Linked DNA regions of Rhinolophus ferrumequinum. Each later gene encodes a partner of the first gene's protein in a complex. Links are inferred from orthologs where the notes say so. Each region holds a gene or a part of one and is shown on either strand. Other genes may lie near its edges. The genes, in order: GINS4 and MCM3.

Evidence for each region.
Region 2: GINS4 (region 1) and MCM3 share a complex: the UniProt entries of both Homo sapiens proteins name them as parts of the CMG helicase complex. The link is inferred for Rhinolophus ferrumequinum from reciprocal best matches to the Homo sapiens genes GINS4 and MCM3.

Annotation. Positions count from the first base shown.
Region 1 is NC_046287.1:58,828,207-58,838,855, reverse strand, and holds the start of GINS4 (DNA replication complex GINS protein SLD5), read left to right. Parts: upstream 1-5,689; 5' UTR 5,690-5,839; intron 5,840-6,699; 5' UTR 6,700-6,718; coding exon 6,719-6,814; intron 6,815-10,649. UniProt on the Homo sapiens protein: Required for correct functioning of the GINS complex, a complex that plays an essential role in the initiation of DNA replication, and progression of DNA replication forks.
Region 2 is NC_046286.1:20,244,242-20,254,693, forward strand, and holds the start of MCM3 (DNA replication licensing factor MCM3), read right to left. Parts: upstream 4,143-10,452; 5' UTR 3,974-4,142; coding exon 3,896-3,973; intron 2,818-3,895; coding exon 2,705-2,817; intron 2,292-2,704; coding exon 2,083-2,291; intron 1,597-2,082; coding exon 1,466-1,596; intron 1-1,465. UniProt on the Homo sapiens protein: Acts as a component of the MCM2-7 complex (MCM complex) which is the replicative helicase essential for 'once per cell cycle' DNA replication initiation and elongation in eukaryotic cells.

The DNA.
Region 1 (10,649 bases):
TTGATACACTGTTGAGCAAGGCTATCCTTTATCCTTTTCCTCTGAGTATAGTCAAACCGTTCCCTACGGCTATATATTTAAAAACAAAAAAGAGCTTGCCCTAACCTGTAAGGATTTAGAAATACCGAGTTTGGCCTGGTTTTCATTTAAACCTAAAGACAGTTCCCTAGAGTAAATTACATGGACCCTAATAAACATGAAGACCTGCCCAGCACTTAGACACATGAGCTTTTCATCAGATGCTCATGAAATAAAGGCACATGAATTTCTTGACGGAAAGGTCACATTTCTCTTTACTTGACTCTTACCCAGAAAATCATTAAGAAAATCATTTTACTTAACCTGTTAAATGCTGTATTGCCATAGTTTTTCAGAAGATTATTTTTTTTAAAAAAAGGAGAATTCATGCTCATTGCTTATTCTGCGGTGAGCAAATGACAGTACAGTTTTTGTATCTCCTCAGTGTTTCACATCCACCTTTCTTGGATATTTATTTATTCCAGAAAACTATGTCACATGTCACCTCCTCATGGAGGCTGCTATAGGCTGAATGTTTGTGTCCCCCAATTCATGTAGTATCGAAATTCTAACCCCCTAGTTGATGGTATTAGGAGGCGGGGCCTTTGGGAAGTGACTAAGTCATGAAGGCGGAACCCCCATGAATGAGATTAGTGCCCTTATAAACTTGACCCAGGAAACTCTCTTGCCCCTTCCACAGTGTGAGGTTACAGTGAAAAGACAGCCACCCAGGAAGTGGGCCTCACCAGACCCTGACTCCGTCAGCGCCATGATCTTGCACATCCAGCTTCCAAAACTGGGAGAAATAAATTTCTGTTGTTTATAAATCACCTAATCGCTAGCATTTTGTTATAGCAGCCCGAATGGATGAAGACAGGTGCCTATCCCAACCATTTAAATGTCCCGAACCCCAACACTCTCTGTTACCCAATTTTATTTTATCACCACCTGACAAAGAATTGTTACGTGTTTATTATCTATCTCCCTCCACAGGGTGTGTATTTCCCATCAACTGCTTTGTTTTTAGCACCTACACAGGACCTGGTAGTAGACACTCAAATATCACTAGATGCTCAAGAAATATTTGTTGAATGAAGAAATAAATGTGTGCATGAATGACAGGCACTGCGATCAATTTGGAGGATACCTTCGGGGAATTCATAATCTAATGGGAGAAACAGACACGTTAAAACTGCAATATAGCGTGATAAACGTTATATCAGAATAGTATAAGGTATACTGGTGACCTAAATAAGGGGTAGTATGTTAAGGATGGTTTCACAGAGGAAGAGTTACCTTGGCTGAGTCTTGAAGGATGAATAGGAGTTCATCAGGTGGTTCAATGGAAAGAGAGAAGCCTAGGAAGAGGGAACAGCATGTGCAAAGAAAGGAGACAAAACACCTCGTGTCCTAAAGTAGTTTGACACGACTGGAGCAGATAGTGTAAGGGAGGAAGCCCGAAACTACAAGAAAATCAGCAGCACTGTTTTCAGAGAGTGACTGAAATCACCCCAGCACCTGATGTCCTCCCTACTTCTCTTAAGGGAATTTACTCCATCCTCCAACAGCCTTCTTCAGTGCAGCTGTCTAAGCCTGAGGACAATGAGGTACTAGCTTACAGGTGCTCTGTTTACTCTCTGCCAAGGAAAATCTCAAGAGTGTAAAATAATAACACTGGAATGAGAGAATATCATCTTACTCTTTGCTCGAGGAGGCAGCCGCCTTTGGCAGGTATCGGTGCCTCTGCTTCCCTATTGACAAAGTTGAGGCAAAGAGGGGAGACGGCATCTACAAGTCTTTGTCCAGGCTCGGGAAGCTTTGGTTAGAGCAGAGTTTGAAGTCAGGGGTCTGGGTCAGCTTTCTTTTCAGAAGATATGAGGACCCCTCCATAGCAAACTGACTCTTTTTTGTTATTCTCAAGGCTGATACTGCAGTCATGAGAAGAAAGCATCCTCCTATTAACCACGAGAAGACAAAATACAGAGGTGGAGGTCAGGTTTATGTGTCTGTGCCAGAAACTAGGAACATATTAAGACCAAACTTAGGGAAGGAGAGTCACACTATGTTCCTATAAAGGAGCAGGTAGAGAAAATAGAGAACATGGTACCAAAGATTTGGACAGACGTTTTCTAGTTAAACAATATTACAAAGCTACATAATTCACCTTTACCTGTAAACTCTCTTGAAACGATGATCTCAAACCTTAGATTTGTAAAGTTTGTATCTTTATGGGGGACATTTATGGGTTAATTAAACGTGCTTGAAATAAAGATGGGCTTTGAGTAAGGGATGAGCAGCTAAAGTCTGAAAGGAAAAAAGGAATGAGGACTATCAGGAGTTGCCCAGATATTGCATTTGTCAGAGAGACCCAAACCTGGCCCTGACCTCTTGAGTTTCGCAGCATCTCAGGCACACGAGCAGTATAGCGTTTTACCACTGGCCAGAAAAATACTTGCAATTTCACCAGACAATAGCTTTTCTTGTGAGGCCAAAGAAAATATTCATAGAGTACTTTTCTGCCTTCCTTAAAAAATCCAAGTTGCCCTCTTAGTTTCCTATCTTTAGTCCAAATTTTCATTCCTTCAGAACAACTTGGGGTTAAACTTTGCTTAAGTACTACACTCCCCAAAGCTTAATTCTTTGGTTCTTAGGATAGTGAAACCAAAAATGTGATGAAAGTCAAAGAAAGGAAACAGTGAGAAACAGCTGTTGACCAAATGAGCAAGGGCAGTGATGATATGAAAACAATAATGATGATATTATCTTGTATTTCAAAAGTATCTTTCTGTAAAAAGACTCACAATATCATATGGATATGTATACTTTATCTTTATCCTTGGTGATTGAAAAAAAATACGTTCATTCTTATTATTGTATATTTCCATAGCTATCCACAAATATTTTGGCTGTTTCTATTTGCTGCATCTTTAACGGAAATAAATTTCTTCATTGAGAATTATCTGGAAATTACATTGACTTTTCACCTTCTTCAATTGCATAGGGTCCTATTTTATGTATCCTCTTCAACTTTGGGCAGAAGCCTTTTCTTTTTGCTATGTTTGTAGCTTCATGTTTTGCTTGTTTGAATTCATGTTAGCATGTTCATTTTGCTCGTTTAATCATCATAACTTGCCTACAAATTCTGTCCTACAGTTTTATTTATCACCATCAAACTTCATCTTCCTATCATAACCTATGTAATTCTCTTTTCTATGTGATTATTTTAATGAATGGCCATTTATATCGCCATGTAATTATTTTCTAAAACTTCTTAACAGTGAGTGCACAACAACCAGGTCTTCTGGATTTTTCTCTTCATTCTACATAATGTAACTTATGACCTGTCTTTTCTCCCACCTTCCTGAACTTTACAGTGCCACTTGACCAACAGTTTCACAAAAAGTTTGAGCTGCCTCCCCCAGGTAGCTCTATATATTGTTTTTGGACATTGCCTTAAATTCTCCTTCCTTACCTAGCAGAAATCCTTCTCTGCAAACTCATTTTACTCTCAAGTGGTTTTGTCTGATGAATGTTAGTTGGAATCAATGATCTTAGAAGTGAAAGAAGACCACCATCCCCAATTTTTGACCTGCAGGAAGGTACATATTGTTCTCACTTAATAGGCAGTGCAACTGAAGCCCAGACAAGTGACTTGTGTCAGGCAGCACCTCTATTAAATAAGGAAGCAGAAGCTAGACTCCACCTCCCCAAGAAAGTTGCAGTGGGAGATTGGAGAAGACAGCACCAAAGAAAGGAAGTTTGAGTAAGTAAACTAAGTAACTGGTACTTGTGTGGAGTAGTTATTGGTGCTTAGATTCAAATCTACAACACTTAAAGAATCTTAATAAAGACCATTGAAAAGCTAGATAGTAATGAGAATTACAGAACGGGACTGTGCTCAAATACTAATGTTCCAATCATCTAATGCTGCATAACAAAGCATCCCAAAACTTAGGGGCTTAAAACAACAATATTTTACCGACCTGCAATCTGGGTAGAGTTCTGCAGGGACAGCTCCCTCCATGTTAGCTGGGATTGCTGAAAGTCTGAGAGCTAGAATCATCTGAAGGTGCATTCAACTCAGACATCTGAAAGACAGAACAGTTGGGGCTGCTGGGGCTCCTTGAACATCACTTTCTATCTCTGTGTGACCTTTCCACATGGACCCTTCAGCATGGCAGCTACAGGCTAGCCAGACTTCTTACATATCAGCTCATTGCTTCCAAAGGGTGTAGCTCAAGAAAGAGAGCCAGGCTGAAGCTGCACCACCTTTCATGACTTAGCTCCAAAAGTCACACAGCATCACTTCTGCCACCTTCTCTTGGTAGAGGCAGTTACCAAGATCTTCCCAGATTAAAGAGGCAAAAACATAGACCCCACCTCTCGATGTAGGAGTGTCAACGCCATATTGTAAGAAGAGTACTGGGGTGAGATCTTTATAAGAGTAGCTATCTTTGGAAAATACAATCTGCCACAACTAAAAACCGTTGGATTACCAAATCACTGAAATGCAGAGCTGAAAGAAATAGACCTTAAAAGACCATCTATTTGTCATTAACAAAACTCATTTTGCAAGGCACAACTCAAATGTTTCTTCCTTTTGGAGTCCATCTTTGATGTCCTCCAGCTTCCATAGCCCTTTGCAAATATGCCCACTCTCTCACTCAGTTATATTCTATTGTAATTATTTTTATACCATGATTGCAATCAGGCAGGTACTATCAACCTATCATTTAGCCAAACTTTTTTTTCTAATCAAACAATATGGCATAGGAAACACCGCAAAGAAAAGAGTCTTCAGACTAATAGGGAAAACACATTTCGAGGAGAGTCAGAGGTGACACTTTCTCCAGAAAACAGACAGCAGAGAGAAAAGCATCAGCAATTAAGAGAAGAAAAACTGACATCACACAAAGAAAAAGATAAAGATAGTATATAGTTTTGCCCTACATTAAAGTAGAGACGGCATAAAGAGTAAATGTCAAAATAACCTAGACTCAAGTAGCTGAGATGGAAGCATTGCCTAAAGCAGTGGTTCTCCAACCTCATCTGTTTCAGACTCACCTGGAGAGTCTGTTTAACCACCTCCCATAGTTTCTGATTCAGCAGGTCTGGGTGGGGCCTGAAAATCCGCATTGCTCACGAGTTCCAAGACAACCTTGATGCTGGTGATCTGGTACTACACTTTAAGAACCACTAGCCTAAAAGTTTTTAGACGTGGAAGTAGTAGCATAACTGAAGCGCCGGCAAAGATGAAGGAACCAGAAGGGCCCAAGATTGGTGGGTGAAGATGACCCAGCACACTAAGTGACCTGATTTTAACAGAGGCCATTTCTCTGTTGTCCCCCCTACGGGACAGGGCATACTCGGGTGATGATGCTCCCCGATGGCCGGAAGACAGACACGGCCTCGTCCCCTCAGCCGCGGTAGCGTGGCGCCCCCTCCCGACCGTCCCTCGGGGATGTTAGCCGGGACCGCACACAAGCGCGGCTAGCCGAGGTGGGCGGAGCTAACTCGGACCAGCCTCCCGCCGCGTCTTAAGGAGGGAAAACACCCGGCAGTGCCTCGAGTCCCCGCCCCCTGGGGGGGGCCACCAGGACACCGGGTCGTGATTGGTCAGTGCCGCTCGTGCGCGGTGACGTTTAGCTAGGTGGAACGTTTCTAAGAGGAGCGCGGGAGCTGAGAAGTGAAGGGTTGATTACGTCCGGGAGAGAAAATTGCCCCCAGGTTCTCCTTGGGAGAGTGGTGCTGCTCCCCCCACGAGCTTCCCGTCCTAATCTCCTGCTACTTTGGGGTGCCTCTCTGCCTCCTAGGTGACCAGGTGAGCATCCGAGTGTGACCTTTGATAGTGTGTATGTGTGTGCGCGTGCGCTGTGTGTGTGTGTGTGTGTGTGTTAGAGGAGGTGGTTACCCAGACTCGTGGCACCGAGAGAGGAGAGGAGGGAGAGGAATATGCTCTGTTTCCCTGAGGCTCCGGGGACGACTTCTCGTCCCTGCCACCCATCTTCTTAGGGCTTTGGGATCGCTGTCTAGTCTGATGTTGCTGGGCCTTGCAACACTGATTGGTTCTCCCAACAATTTTAAGTGCCTGCTATGAGTTAAGCACTGTGCTAAGCGCAGGGACTACACAGGCAATTACCGTGTGTCCCGGAAAATAAGACCGAGCCGGACCATCAGTTCTAATGTGTCTTTTGGAGCAAAAATTAATATAAGACCCGGTCTTATATTACATATTATATTATACCGGGTCTTATATTAAAATAAGACCAGGTCTTATATTAATATTTGCTGCAAAAGACGCAGTAGAGCTGATGATCCGGCTAGGTCTTATTTTCAGGAAACATGGTATGTCCCCAGTTCTTACAAGTGCCAGGCACAGAGTAATTCATCTTTAAACTGAAGTGAACAAGGACCCTGAGGAGAGGATCTCTACCAGAAAGACGAATAATTATTGCATGGTGTGACAGGTGCTCAGTTAGAGTTGTGCCTGGAAGCACAAGAGGTGAGAACTGATAACCTAACCTAAGGTTTGAAGGAGGCAAAGAATTGAAAATATCAAAGCCTATGAATTCTCTAGCCACTGCCAATGAGCCTTTACAACCTGTTGTAGTATGTAGTTGCCTATTCTTGCAAATAAATGGAAAACATATAGAAAGGTATGGGTTCTTTTATTCTTAATAGGTTCCCAGTTTCAGGTAAGATGACAGAGGAACTGGATCTCACGGCACAGGACTCTGATGCGGGCAGTGAAGAAGTGGTCCTAACTCCTGCAGAGCTCATTGAAAAGCTGGAGCAGGTAAGAGTCCCAAATAGAATCCCCTTGCGCCAATCTTAGCCTTTTTATTTAGTCCAACTGTGCAAATGTCGGGAATCAGGAAACGATGAAATGGGATTCAAGGCTTATTTCAAGAGAAGAGTGACTGGGTCTTACCATCTGCCCAGAAATAAGAAGTGGGGGGAACAGTCTTTGTTAGAGAACTCATGTCAAACACAAACTTCTCCAGTGGGGCCAGTAAGGGACAGCTTTGGATACATTGAGTAGAACAGTTCACAGAGCAAAGATTTGCTACTTGGTAGTTTCATGGACTACAGAAGTGTTGTAGTGGAGACTTGTAAATTTTATGCCTTAGTCCCTTGAAACACCTGCTGTTTACTTATAGAATGCTTGGGTTAGCAAGAAAGAGCTGAAACACCTTTTTTAGGATTAAACTGGTCTTACTCTTCCTTTTCCTCCCAGGTACTTTCTTTTGTCAACTATTCTCTATATTTCCATTGCTTATCTAAAATCATTTCTAGGCTGTCTCTCTTTTTAGTCATAAGAGCTATGGTTTGAGTATTTCCTGTGTGCTAATAACTGTTATTTACAATTAACTGTGAAGCTCTGGTAGTTAGTTCAGACTCTGTATTTAAACCCCTCCATGCCACTAGTCTGTTATGCAACCTTAGGCAAGTTATATAGCTTGTCTCAAGCACTTTCTTGACTATAAAATGAAGTTAATAATAGTGGCTACCTCATAGAGTTGTGAGGATTAAGTGAGATTTTATATATATATATATATATATATATATATATATATATAAAGTGCTTAGCATATTGTTTGACATGACAAGCACTCACTGAATGTTAGCTGTGAGTAGTAATAATCCTTACAACAACCCAGTGAGGCAAGTATTATTGTTATCTACATTTTACAGATGAGGAAACTGAAGCTTAGAGATATAAAGTAACATGCCCAAGGTCACACAATGGCAGCAGAGCTGGGATATGAACCAGGTTTCTTTGACTCCAAAACTCATGCTCTTAATCCACTACACATTACTGCCTTATTCTTGTTGTCTCCCCTTTTTATCCCCCACTTTTTCTCGCCTCCCCCCCCCACTCCAGTTCAAGCCGTTGTTTCTCAGTCTAGTTGTGTAGGACACAGCTCCCTGCCCACGCTGATATTAATGAGCCTTGCACTCCCCCGGCTGAGGCTGTCGGTTGCTGGTTGTCTGTCGGCTGCTCATGGCCCACAGCAGCCCACGGCTGCTCACGCTGGCCACTGGCCACTCCTGGCAGCACAGGGCAGCACGCAGCAGCCCTGCCCACGGCAGCCCAGCTCCAGGGAGAGCCGTTGTTCACAATCTTAGCTGTAGAGGGCGCAGCTCACTGGCCCATGTGGGAATCGAACTGGCAACTTCGGCATTAGGAGCACGGCGCTCCAACCACCTGAGCCACTGGGCCGGCCCCTTGTTGTCTCCCTTTAACTGCCCCTTTCCAGAATTCTCTCATGTTTGTTACTTTAGTGTTCTTCATTCTTTTCTAACGTACACGCCATCAAGACTAACAAAATCAAAGGAACAACCCATATAGAATTTTACATCTAATTTCAGGAGTTTCACAGACACCCTGAAATCTGCCTACCTAGTCTGGGGACCCTAGTTTAAGAGCCCCTGCTTTATTAGGAGAGGGTTTATTAAATGGAAATCAAAAAGCATAAAGCATGAAGGACAAAACTGATATATTCAACTACATTAAAATTAAGAACTCTGTTTTTACATCTTCCTGAGAATAAAAAGACGTGCCACAGAACTGGGGGAAAATATTTGCAAAATATATAACTGGCAAAAGATTAGTATACATAATACACAAACTTTATAAATTGACCAGGAGAAAAATGAAAGTCTTAATAGGAATCTCCCAAAAGTGGAAACCAGGATGGCCCATCACCATATCAAAATAACATCCAACCTTTTTGCTAATCAGGAAACTGAAAATTTAAATCGCAATGAGATAGCACTGCATACCCACCCATCAGATTGGCAGAAATGGAAAAGATGAACAATATAAAGTATTGGCAAGGACGTAGAGATGGAGAGCATGTATACTGTGGGGGGCATGTAATTGGTTCAGTCACTTTAGAAAATAATTTGTTATTGTCTAGTCAAGTTGAAGGCATACACATCTTGTGGCCCAGTGATTCTACTGCCCAGTACACACCCACGTTCAAGTTCACGTGTACTCCAGGAGACATGCACAGAATGTTCAGAGCATTGTTCACAACAGTTAAAAACTGCAACTACTCAGATATCCTTCAACAATAGAACGGATAAAAAATGGTGGCATATACACACAAGGGGTGGGGAACAGCAATAAAATGAGTAAAAGATAGTTCCTGCAACAGCATGGATAACTCAGGAATATAACGCAGAACAAAAAAATATATGTTTCTAAAGAAACCATTTATGTAAAGCTCAAACACTTGCAAAACTATTGTGAAGGCAGAGCTTGCCAGCTTGGGTGATACGGCACAAACTAGTGCACTGCAAACGCCTCGGTGATGTTTACCCTCCACTCTCTGGGGCAGCCAGAGCCCCCAGACTCATTGCCTTTTGTGGGTGTCGTCAGGGGCTCCTTGGAAGGCAGCCTGAAGACAGTAGGATCTGACAGCACAGCCTCAGCTTGGCAGTGGGTAAGCATGAGTTGCATCTCGTGCCTGATGCTCTCTTGCAGTGTCCTGAATGCAGCCAAGAAGTTGGTCTATCACCTGGACAGCTGCTGCAGCTGGACACAGACTCGGGCTGCATGGGACTGCCTGATGAGCAACCTGACAAGGGCCCCTGATAAACACAGCTCTAGAAGCACATATAGGATATTCTTGATTGCCTATAAAAATTAATTTAGAAGTTATTGCCTACAGTGCGAAGTTCCTCATTTTAATGATTGTATTAGTTTGTTAAGGCTGCATATCAAAGACTGGGTGGCTTAAAGAACAGAAATTTATTTTTTCAACTCTGGAGGTTAGAAGTCTGAAATGAAGGTGCCAACATAGTTTGGTTTCTTCCGAGGCCTCTTTCCTGGGCTTGTAGATGACCGTGTTCTCACGGTGTCTTCACATGGTCTTTCTGTGTGTCTGTGTTCAAATTTCTTCCTCTTATAAGGGCACCAGTCATACTGGCCAAAGGCCCACCTACTCTCATTTTAACTTGACGAATATCACCTCTTTGAAGACCCTTTCTCCAAATACAGTCACATCCTGAAGTGCTAGGAATTAGAACTTCAATATGAATTGCGGGGTGGCGGGGGACACAGTTTACAGGCTATTACAGTTTAGCGTGTAATGTGATAAACACATTGTCATTAAAACTTTTAATTAGCAATGTGATACATCAATGATGTATTACAGAATTGTACACTTGAAACCTATGTAATTTTATTAACCATTGTCACCCCAATAAATTAAAAAAAAAAAAATTTTGATCAGGAACCAGAGGTAGCCATTTCAAATATAGAACATGATTATTTTAAAAACACCATAGATTTAAACACAAAATCTATTTTAAAAAGATTTTATTTGAAAGTTTTATATTAGTATAAGTTTTCCCCTAGTGTTTTTATATTGTATCATAATTGCATAATGTAAATGAGAAATTCCCCCCAAATCTACTCCATTTTATTTCCATGTGCCATATAAATGCTGTCATTTTCTTTGAATGCCTGTCATGAAAAGGTTCGGAAGCAATTATAGAGATACAAACAAATGTAGTGACCAAACTGTACAGAAAATTAACACTAAATTCAGGCTAATGATTATATCTGAGGAGGCAGAGACACACGGGGACTTTTAAAATGCTAATATTTGTTAATGATG
Region 2 (10,452 bases), on another chromosome or scaffold:
TTGAGTGCTTACTATGTACAAAACACTGTGCTATTACCATGGAACTGTTTCATGTAACCCTCACAACTCAGCAAAGCAGGTATTCTCCACGTTTTACAACAGATTAAAAAAATGAGGCTGGGATTGGTTAAACAAGTTCCCTCAGACATCACACCGTAAGTGGCAGAGCCGGGACTTGAGGCAGGTGAAACTCCAAAACCCAGGCTTGGAAGCACCACACTAGACACTTCCAGGAGACAAGGTCCAGTAAATTTCACGGCTCAAGGAAAGAAGCCTGGCCACAGTAATCGGTAGAACAGTACTTCTTGAGTACTTCCTGGAGAAGAAATTCTAGCACGTAGGATTCCAGAGAGCCTAGGAGTCTAAGATGACAGGAAATGCAACTGGCCTCACAGTAAAGACACAGGTCCTTCTCCTTAGGGTCATCACTAACGGAGACCATAAGCAAGTCACTTAACCTCTGAACCTCAACATGCCATCTGGAGGTACACGAAATAATTCCAAAGTAAGTTTCTGTTATAATTCTCAGATATTCCTCTTTGTTTTTTGTTGTTTACGATTCCTCCACAAGTTGGTAAAATTGAAGAACTGGGTCTTATTTATAACTGTGTCCTCCAGGATGCCTAACAATTCTTTGGATATAGTAGCTCTCAATTAAAATTTTTGATATGGGGACAGGTAGTCTTTCATAGAATGAGTTCAGACATCAAGTAATCAATATTAATCATCTTCTTTTATCTCATTAAAGTCTCGCATCATCCTCAATTCAAACTGCACACTAAGAATAAAGCCATTTCCTATGTCAACCTTCTCTTAAACCTTCAGTAAAATACCTGCAAAAAGCACATAGTAACATTATACGTGTTTTTCCATATTACTTTAAGTAATTATAAAATTATATGATTATAACTTTGCTAAAAGATTGACGTAGATTAGATGACTGTTTTCCTTCAACCCTTCCATAATTTTCTAAATTTTCTAAAGTGAATATTTATTATTTCTTTTAAAAACGTGAGCTTTCCATATTAAGCTCTGGCTAACAATCAAACTTTCCTTTAGGTTAATGCTTACTTGTCACCCTACCTACTTTTAAAAGACTTCAAATATTATCCAATTACTTGCATTTTTTTAATCTTTTTGTTTTTTAAAACATAGCAAACTTTTTTTTTTGTTAACTCTTATTTATTTTAAGTATATTATTCCAGGACCCATCAGCTCCAAGTCAAGTAGTTGTTTCAATCTAGTTGTGGAGGGTAGCAGCTCACAGTGGCCCATGTGGGGATCAAACAGGCAACCTTGTTGTGAGAAGCACCCCGCTCTAACCAACTGAGTTAAGCGGCTGCCCCCATTTATCATGTTATTACCTGTTTTAACCCAGAAAATACATTATTTGATCCAACTACGCATTAAAACAGGTATCTTTGACTACAACCTCCAAGAGGCCCAATCAATTCACTCCCCTCACCTTGGTGGGATAGACAGAGCTGGAGGGAAAGGCCACCAGGGTGGTGAGATCAGAATAACGTCGCTCTATGGTCTTCTTGGTAGCAGGACAGTAGTGGACACTGCGTACAACTTTGGGACGAACTAGAGAGCCTAGGAATAGAAAACATGCATATACAGTCATCCAACTAGACAGTGATAGAAGTGGGATCTAACGCAGGCAAGCCCATGATGACTCCAAATACTATTCCTCCAACTAGTTTCAGCTATTTCAATAATACTTGTCATTTATTTAGTTTTATATTTATATCACCATACCCGTGTAAAACTTTACATACAACTGATACCAACTAAGAAATAGACGTTCAAGGTTAGAATGAAGAGACTGCCAATACCCAAGACTCGTCCCCTCTCAGCAGAATTCATTGTTCTGCTAGCACAGGTGGGCACCCAAGGTCCCCCTCATTATTGCGCACACTCGGAGCTCCTCCAAGTTTCCCCCCATAATTTCAATGCTCCATCTTTCGGAAGCCACACACTCGCGACCCAGCTCTACTCCACCTCTCTTGCTTTCTTTTCCCAGCCCCTCTAAGAGTATCCCACCTCCGCTGCCTTAGACCCTTACGTTAACCCACTTACACTTCGTGACAATGCCCTCCACACAGACTACACAGCTAAGGAAGCAGGAAGTAAGAGTCCGGGGAGAGACATGCTTGGAGCCAAAGCTGCCCTCCAATCCTATGTAGAACTCCTCATACTGCTTCGCATAGGTAGCATCAATGGAGGCCACAAAATCCTTTAAAGCCCGTTGGAAGGCCACCAGCTCCTCAAATGCATTGCTCAGGAGGCTGCATAGGGGCAAGAGAAAGAATGATTAGGCTGGGGGCAGCACTCAAAAAAACTGACCCTCGAATCAGAAGTGGACATTCTTAGATGATCAAGAACAAGGAGTGAAAATCTAACTACTTTCTTCTGCCACCCTACAAGACTCAGGAAAATAACCAGAACTGAAGGCCAACCTCAACTCATCAAAGACGTAGAAATGATACTCAGCTAAACATGGAAGGAAGGAGAAGCTCTTGAGAGAAAAAGGCCAACCACCCACTTTGGGAAGATGAAAACATAGTAGCTGGTGAGGCAATGAGGGCTTCAAGATCAGAAACATTTCATCCAGGGCCGGTTCCAATGCAGAAAAGAGAGAGAGGAGCAATTCTCACTCAGAGCCAGCCAGGATATCCCCTTGGAATCCCTTGCCACTCACCGATTAGCCCTCTTCTCATTTTTCCTGCGCAGGTCATTCACGTTAACAATCAACCGGTACTGGTTGTCATTGATCAGCTCCCGAACTTTGTTCTGATAAATTCCCCGGTCTTCCTGCAAAATAGCCACCACATATAACAGCCACAAAATCAAAAATAAGATGTTGTTAAACAGAGGCAGCTCTCACATGAAGTCACTCTCTGCGGCAGGGCTGAACCCCAATTTCTCCCATAGTTTCACTCAGCAGCCTCAGATTCCATCTACACTGAAAAAGGACAGTGTAGGGATTATGTCTCCCTCAAGGTCCGTGCTATTATTCCCATTATCAATAGCTTTTCTGTCTGCAGTCATTTCTCAACCTTTAATGGGGAATTAAAATGAGCTCATAGGAAGTCTAAAAGGACAACAAATACTAACCTGGTTAATATGTAAATCAAACGGGCTTTTAATATTCATATTAAGATAACTTTTCATTTAAAAATTGTATACAGAATGAAAATATTTAATTTCCCGATATCTGTATAATACAGGAAGAGTTCTCATATCCAGACCTAATGGAGTTGGGAGCCTTAGATATTTCTTTACAGATACAGCATCAGCAACCCTTCAAGATGCATTACCAACATCCTAAGACCTTTACCTGCATCACAAACATTTTTTGTCTGCATCTCTCTTGGTACTGAAAAAGAATGCTCCCAAATTAGGAAGTCTTTTCCTCCCAACAGGAAGTCAGTCTCTAATCCAGTATCTGGGAACCCTACAATGCCGCGGATCACTACGGTCGAATAGCAGTACTTCCCCCCACCCTACCCCCCAAATTATGAGAATCGAGAGTGATTTCGAAGAGGTCAAAGTGGGCTTTGCCACTTTGTTTGCACTTGAAGGAAACCTGTAGCCTTTCGCGCGACTCCGCCATCACTTGTATTTAGAAGAAAGTTATAAGATCGCTAAGGCTCACCTACAGGAAACCAACTACGGACTGACTCCACCGCGAGCAAATGCACAAGACCGAGATGGAAGGTTCTTGCGCCCGCCACCTCTGCCGCGGCAGTCTGCAGGCCTGGCGGGCCTCTACCTCTCCCGGCCGGGTCGCTGCTCGGCGTGGGGCGGCGTCACGCATGGCTTCCCTCGGCCTGTCCGCGTCCCTAGGAGCTCCACGATCGAGAACCTAGCGACCGAGCGCCTCCCTCACCTCGTCATCCAAGAAGTCCAAGTAATCTCTCTGCGCCTCCCGCAGTTCCACATCGTCCAGTACCACGGTCCCTGCCATGCTGGCCGACGCCAAACTACCTCCCCGGAGCCCCGCGGCGGGTCTTCGATAGCCCCGCCCCGGCGCGAAAACAGCGGAACTTTTCCCGCCACCAAAGTTACCTCAATGAAGGGGCGGGGTCTCTGGGAGGATACACACATTCTCATTGGCTGATGCGAATAGATAGTATCCAATCGAAAGCTTCTTCTTCTTCTTCTTCTTCTCATTTACCAAGAAGCGCCGCGCGGCGGCGGGAAAGTACCATCCGGGGCGCTCTGTTCTCTCGCGGCTCCGCCCTCACTGATGAGGAAGCTGACCAATGCCGTCGAAAGGAGGCTCGTAGAGCCTGGTGATTGGGCACCCGAAGAGCCGGCGAGATCTGGAAGCGATCAATTCTGGGAATCGTAGTCTTCCCCCTTTTTCCGGATGTTTTGAGGATTTTTTTCAATCTGCGGTTCCCTCACCCTCTGAAGGGTGAACCCACTGAGCCAGGAGGTTGGATTCAAAGACTAAACGTTAGAGAATGGGGGTTTGTAACAGAAGGAAATGAAAACATAAAAGCAAATGGTTTTTAAAATGTGTTCAAATACGGTGTGCTCGATATGGTTCTTAAGCAGCTGCCCTCAAGCGGCATCCAGGGAAATACAGTGAATTTTGAGAATCTGTGGGATGGAAAATAGAGTAACAGTTTATTGAAAGATAAACACAAAGAGAAAAAAAAGTGTGCCAAGCCAACTCTTAAGAACCAATCAGTAAGATACAGCGAATCTGAAATTACAATTAAAAGATAAATTGCATTTCCAAGTTTTGTTTGTTTTTAGTTTTTTGCGGTTTCTTTACTTTTTTAGTCTTATATTTTGAGGTGTAATTTATATAAAGTAAAATACACAAAACAAGTGTACATACAGCTCAATGAATTTTTATCATGTATACACCCATGTAACCATCCAATGCACAATAAAGAATAATCTCATTGCCCCAGCGTGTGTTTTTTGTTTTTTTTATTTTTTTATTTTTTTTAATTAAAGTTTTTGTGGTGATAATTGTTAGTAAAGTTACATAGATTTCAGGTGTACAATTCTGTAATACATCATATATATATATCACATTGTATGTTCACCACCCAGAGTCAGTTCTCCTTCCATCACCATATATTTGATCCCTTTTACCCTCTTCTACCATCCCTTCCCCACCACCCTCTGGTAACCACTAAACTATTGTCTGTGTCTATGAGTTTTTGATTCTACATTTGTTTGTCTTGTTCTTTTGTTTTCAGTTTTATCTACCACATATCAGTGAAATCATATGGTTCTCAACTTTTTCTGTCTGACTTGTTTCACTCAGCACAATAATCTCAAAATCCATCCATGTTGTCAAAAATGGCACTATTTCATCTTTTCTTATGGCAGAATACTGGTATTCCATTGTGTATGTATATCACAACTTCTTTATCCATTCATCTATCAAAGGACATTTTGGTTGTTTCTATGTCTTGGCCACCGTAAATAAACTTACAATGAACATTGGAGCACATACGTCTTTATGGATAAATGTTTTCAGATTTTTTGGGTAGCTACCCAGGAGACAGATTGCTGGGTCATATGGTAATTCTATTCTTAATTTTTTGAGGAACCTCCACACTGCCTTCCATAGCGGCTGCACTAGTCTGCATTCCCACCAACACTGTATGAGGGTTCCTTTTTTCTCCACAGCCTCTCCAACACTTGTTACTATTTGTCTTGTTGATGATGGCCATTCTAACTGGGTGAGGCGATATCTCATTGTGGTTTTTATTTGCATTTCTCTGATGATTAGTGATGTTGAGCATTTTTTCATATGTCTATTGGCCATTTGTATGTCCTCTTTGGAGAAATGTCTCTTCAGGTCTTCTGCCCATTTTTTAATTGGATTGTTTGTTTTTTTGTTGTTGAGTTTTATGAGTTCCTTACATATGTTGGATATTTGTCCCTTATCGGAGGCGTTATTTGCAAAAGTCTTCCATTCAGTTGGTTGCCTCTTTATTTTGTCAATGGTTTCTTTTGCTGTGCAGAAGCTTTTTATAGTCCCATTCATTTATTTTAGCTTTTACTTCCCTTCCCTTTGAGGTCAAATTCGTAAAATGCTCTTTGAACCCAAGGTCCATAAGTTTAGTACCTATGTTTTCTTCCATGCAGTTTATTGTTTCAGGTCTTATGTTTAGGTCTTTGGTCCATTTTGAGTTAATTTTGGTTCACAGTGACAGACAGCAGTCCAGTTTCATTCTTTTGCACATGGCTTTCCAATTCTCCCAGCATCATGTATTGATGAGGCTGTCTTTTCTCCATTGTATGTTTTTGGCTTCTTTATCAAAAATTATCTGTCAATATTTATGTGGGTTTGTTTTTGGGTTCTCAATTCTATTCCATTGGTCTGTGTGTCTGTTTTTCTGCCAATACCATACTGTTTTGATTATTGTTACCATGTAGTACAAACTGAAGTCAAGGAGTGTGATACCTCCAGCATTGTTCTTTTTTCTCAGGAGTGCTTTGGCTATTCAGGGTCTTTTGAGATTCCATACAAATCTGACAATTTTTGATTCTATTTCTTTAAAAAATACTATTGGGATTTTGATGGGGATTACATTAAATCTGTATATTGCTTTGGGTAATATGGCTATTTTAACGATGTTGATTCTTCCAATCCATGAATATGAAATGTCTTTCCATTTCTTTGTGTCTTCTTCAATTACTCTTAAAAAAGTCTTATGGTTTTCAGTATATAGGTCTTTTACAGCCTTGGTTAAGTTTATTCCTAGGTATTTATTATTTTTGTTGCAATTGCAAAAGGAATTGTTTTTTTCTTTCTTTTTCTGAGATTTCATTGTTAGTATATAGGAATGCAATGGACTTTTGTACATTGATTTTGTAGCCGGCAACTTTACTGTATTTATTGTTTCTAATAGCTTTTTCGTGGAGTCTTTAGGTTTTTTTATATATAGCATCATGTCATCTGCAAAAAGTGACAATTTAGCTTCTTCATTCCCAATGTGGATGACTTTATTTCTTTCTCTTGCCTGATTGCTGGGCTAGGACTTCCAGTACTATGTTGAAAAGCAGAGGTCATAGGGGACAGCCTTGTCATGTTCCTGAACATAGAGCAAAAGGCTTCAGTATTTTACCATTAATTATGATATTAGCTGAGGGTTTGTCATATATGGCCTTTATTATGTTGTGGTATTTTCCTTCTATACCTATTTTACTAAGTGTTTTAATCATAAATGGATGTTGTATCTTGTCAAATGCTCTTTCTGTATCTATTAATATAATCAGGATTTTTTCCCTTTATTTTGTTTATGTGGTATATCACACCGATTGATTTGCGTATGTTGAACCATCCATGTGCCCCTGGGATGAACCCCACTTGGTTGTGATGTATAATCTTTTTAATGCATTGTTGCATTTGATTTGCTAGAATTTTGTTTAGGATTTTTGCATCTGTATTCATCATAGATATTGGTCTGTAGTTTTCTTTTTTTGTGTTGTCCTTACCAGGTTTTGGTATCAGGGTAATGTTGGCCTCATAAAATGAGTTAGGGAGTACTGTCTGTTCTTCCATTTTTTGGAAGAGGTTGAGTAGGACAGGTATTAGATCCTCTTTGAAGGTTTGGTAGAATTCACTAGTGAAGCCATCTGGTCCCGGACTTTTGCTTTTGGGAAGGTTTCTGATGACTGATTTAATTTCCTTACTGTTGATTGGTCTATTTAGTTTTTCCAGTTCTTCATGATTCAGCCTAGGAAGGCTATGTGTTTCTTGTCCATTTCTTTTAGGTTATTGAATTTGGTGGCGTATAGTCCTTCATAGTATTCTTGGATGATCCTTTGTATTTCTGTGACATCCATGATAACTTCCCTTCTTTCATTTCTGATTTTGTTTATTTAGGGTAACAACTTAGAGCTGATGGGCCCTGGAAAAACACATTGTTCCCCAATATTCCCCAATAAAAAAAGTATTCATTATTAATAACCCCCCTTACCTATAATTCCCTCTAACCCCTTTCATAAAAAAAAAACAACAACAACAACAACAAAAACAGGACAAATGAGTAAGACTCAGTAGAATTTACTTAAATATTAAGGGAACAGATATTTTATATTTTGAAATATTTTAATTGATTTACAAGGTGTGATCACAAAATACAGTGAATGCTTAAATCAAAAAATTTATTAGAGTGAAAGACACATTGCCATTAATCCCCCTCAAAATACTCCCCCTTGCTTCAAACACACTTATCCCATCATTCTTGCCACTTTCTGAAGCAGTTCTGGAAGTCCTCCTTCATGAGTGTCTTTACTTCATCCTCTATCATGACAATACTCCATGTCACACATCGCTTCTGGTATGGCAATTTCTGTCAAATAAAAACATTATGGTGTGTCCTCATCCACCTTATTCATAGAATCTGGCACCGTGTGACTTCTGGCTCTTCCCCAAAGTCAAATTGACCATGAAAGGTAAACATTTTGAATCAATTCAGGACATCGAGGCAGCCACGACAGCACAACTAAAGACACTCATGAAAGTGGACTCCCAGAACTGCTTCAGAAAGTGGCAAGAATGATGGGATAAGTGCGTTCACGCAAGGGGGAGTATTTTGAGGAGGATGAATGGCAATGTGTCTTTTACTGTAATAAATATTTTTTATTTAAACAATCACTGTACTATTTGATCACACCTCGTAGTTTTTGTTACTTATTTTACTGTGTAAGATATAGAAAGACCTTTCTCTGGACATGATGAATACCATCTGCTCATTTCCAGGTGGGCCAGCATCTGTATGTGTCCTATAACATTTGCTTATTCATTCATTCATTCAATTATATGTGAGCCATGTATGAGACAGTGAATTATATATTAGTTATAATCAGTTTTTATTCTACTTATCCATCAAGGAAGCTGTACATCATCATTTTGAAGTTTCAAACTATTTAAAATACCTGTCTTTATTCAGCCAACAGGGCTTTGCAATGCTAATATTTACTCACACTATAAATAATGCTGTCTGTATTTTATTCTATTATATGCAAGGTATTTATGGAGATACAAAGATCAAAACTTTATGATCTAGTATGGAAAAGAAGTACAAGCACAAATAAGCATGAGAAAAAGCATTGTGTCTTCTAGGCATGGTATAAAGTGCCATATGCATTAAAAAGGGCAAATTTACACAGGAATGATGAGGGAAAGCTAAAGAAATGGGGTCGTATTTAATTTGAGGATCAAAAGGTGTGCAGCATTTCCTCTAGGGAAATGCAGCAGCAAGGACATTTTAAGGAAAATGTAAAGGCAGAAATGACCAAGTCCTTGTCTTGAGATTAAGGTGTTTGGAATGAAGGGTGAGTGGGAGAGATGAGTACAGGGGAGGACTGGAAGCAATCGGGTGCATCAGGCCTGATTGTGGAGGACACTGACCAATGGAGTAAGACAACTGTGCTTGATTTAGGAGGCCAAAGGAAGCCGTTGATGACTTTTGAGTAAAGGAAAGACAGTTTCAAAGTTGTGCTTTAGGACCACTGGCCAGAGGATGTGTAGAATGGATTATTTAAATCAGATAAAAAGAAATGAGGCCTGGAAAGGGTGTTCAAAGAAGGGACAGATAGAAAAGAATGAGAATGAGACATTTCAGAAGAAAAATGGACAGATTAAAAGCTATTTGGATGAAAGTAGGAATGAGGGACAGAGAGGGATAAAAATTATACACACACACACAATAAATATATAATAAATACATGTGCCTCACACACAGTGCCAAAAGAGCTTACAAAATTCATCTAGATGTTCATCATCTTTATTTGGATCTTAATTTAGAATGGACAGTTGTTTTGCAGTTAAGATGCAGAGAAAAAGAAATTTAGGAGATAACCAAGTCTCCCAAAACTCCAGTAGTCAGGTGAGGAATAAACTTTGATATTTAGTTCCAAAACTTTGTCTAGGACAGTACGGAAAAAGAAAGAAAATAGTATTTTGTTGAATTTTAAAGCAAAGTATATATAAACTATACCTCAATAAAGTAAAGAGTACATAAATTATGCCTTAACTAAGTTTATTCTAAAATCTAGGCAAAGAAAATGTATCATAAAAGCACCATAGCTGTAGTTGGCGAGCTTGGGGTGGGAGGAAGGAAGAACTAGTGCTCTTTGAAGTAAATTGAATATTGATTTTAATTAGCTTCATGCTATTTAATTAAGATGCAGTTGTTGTCCACAGCATTCACAATGTGATAGACCAGAAGCCAGGGTTTGGGAAGACTGAATCTCTGTGTATCCTATACTCACTTAACATTTGACTACATAGGAGCAGAATTTGAAGATGCTTGTGAGGCATCTTGGGATATAAAGTGCGGAAATGCTTGTATTGATCATGCACTTGCCTTTTATAGAAATATACTAAGATCACCTCTTCCGTTCCCCACTCCATTTCATACCTGCAATTCACTTCCAGCACCTTCCTATATTTTTCTAGCT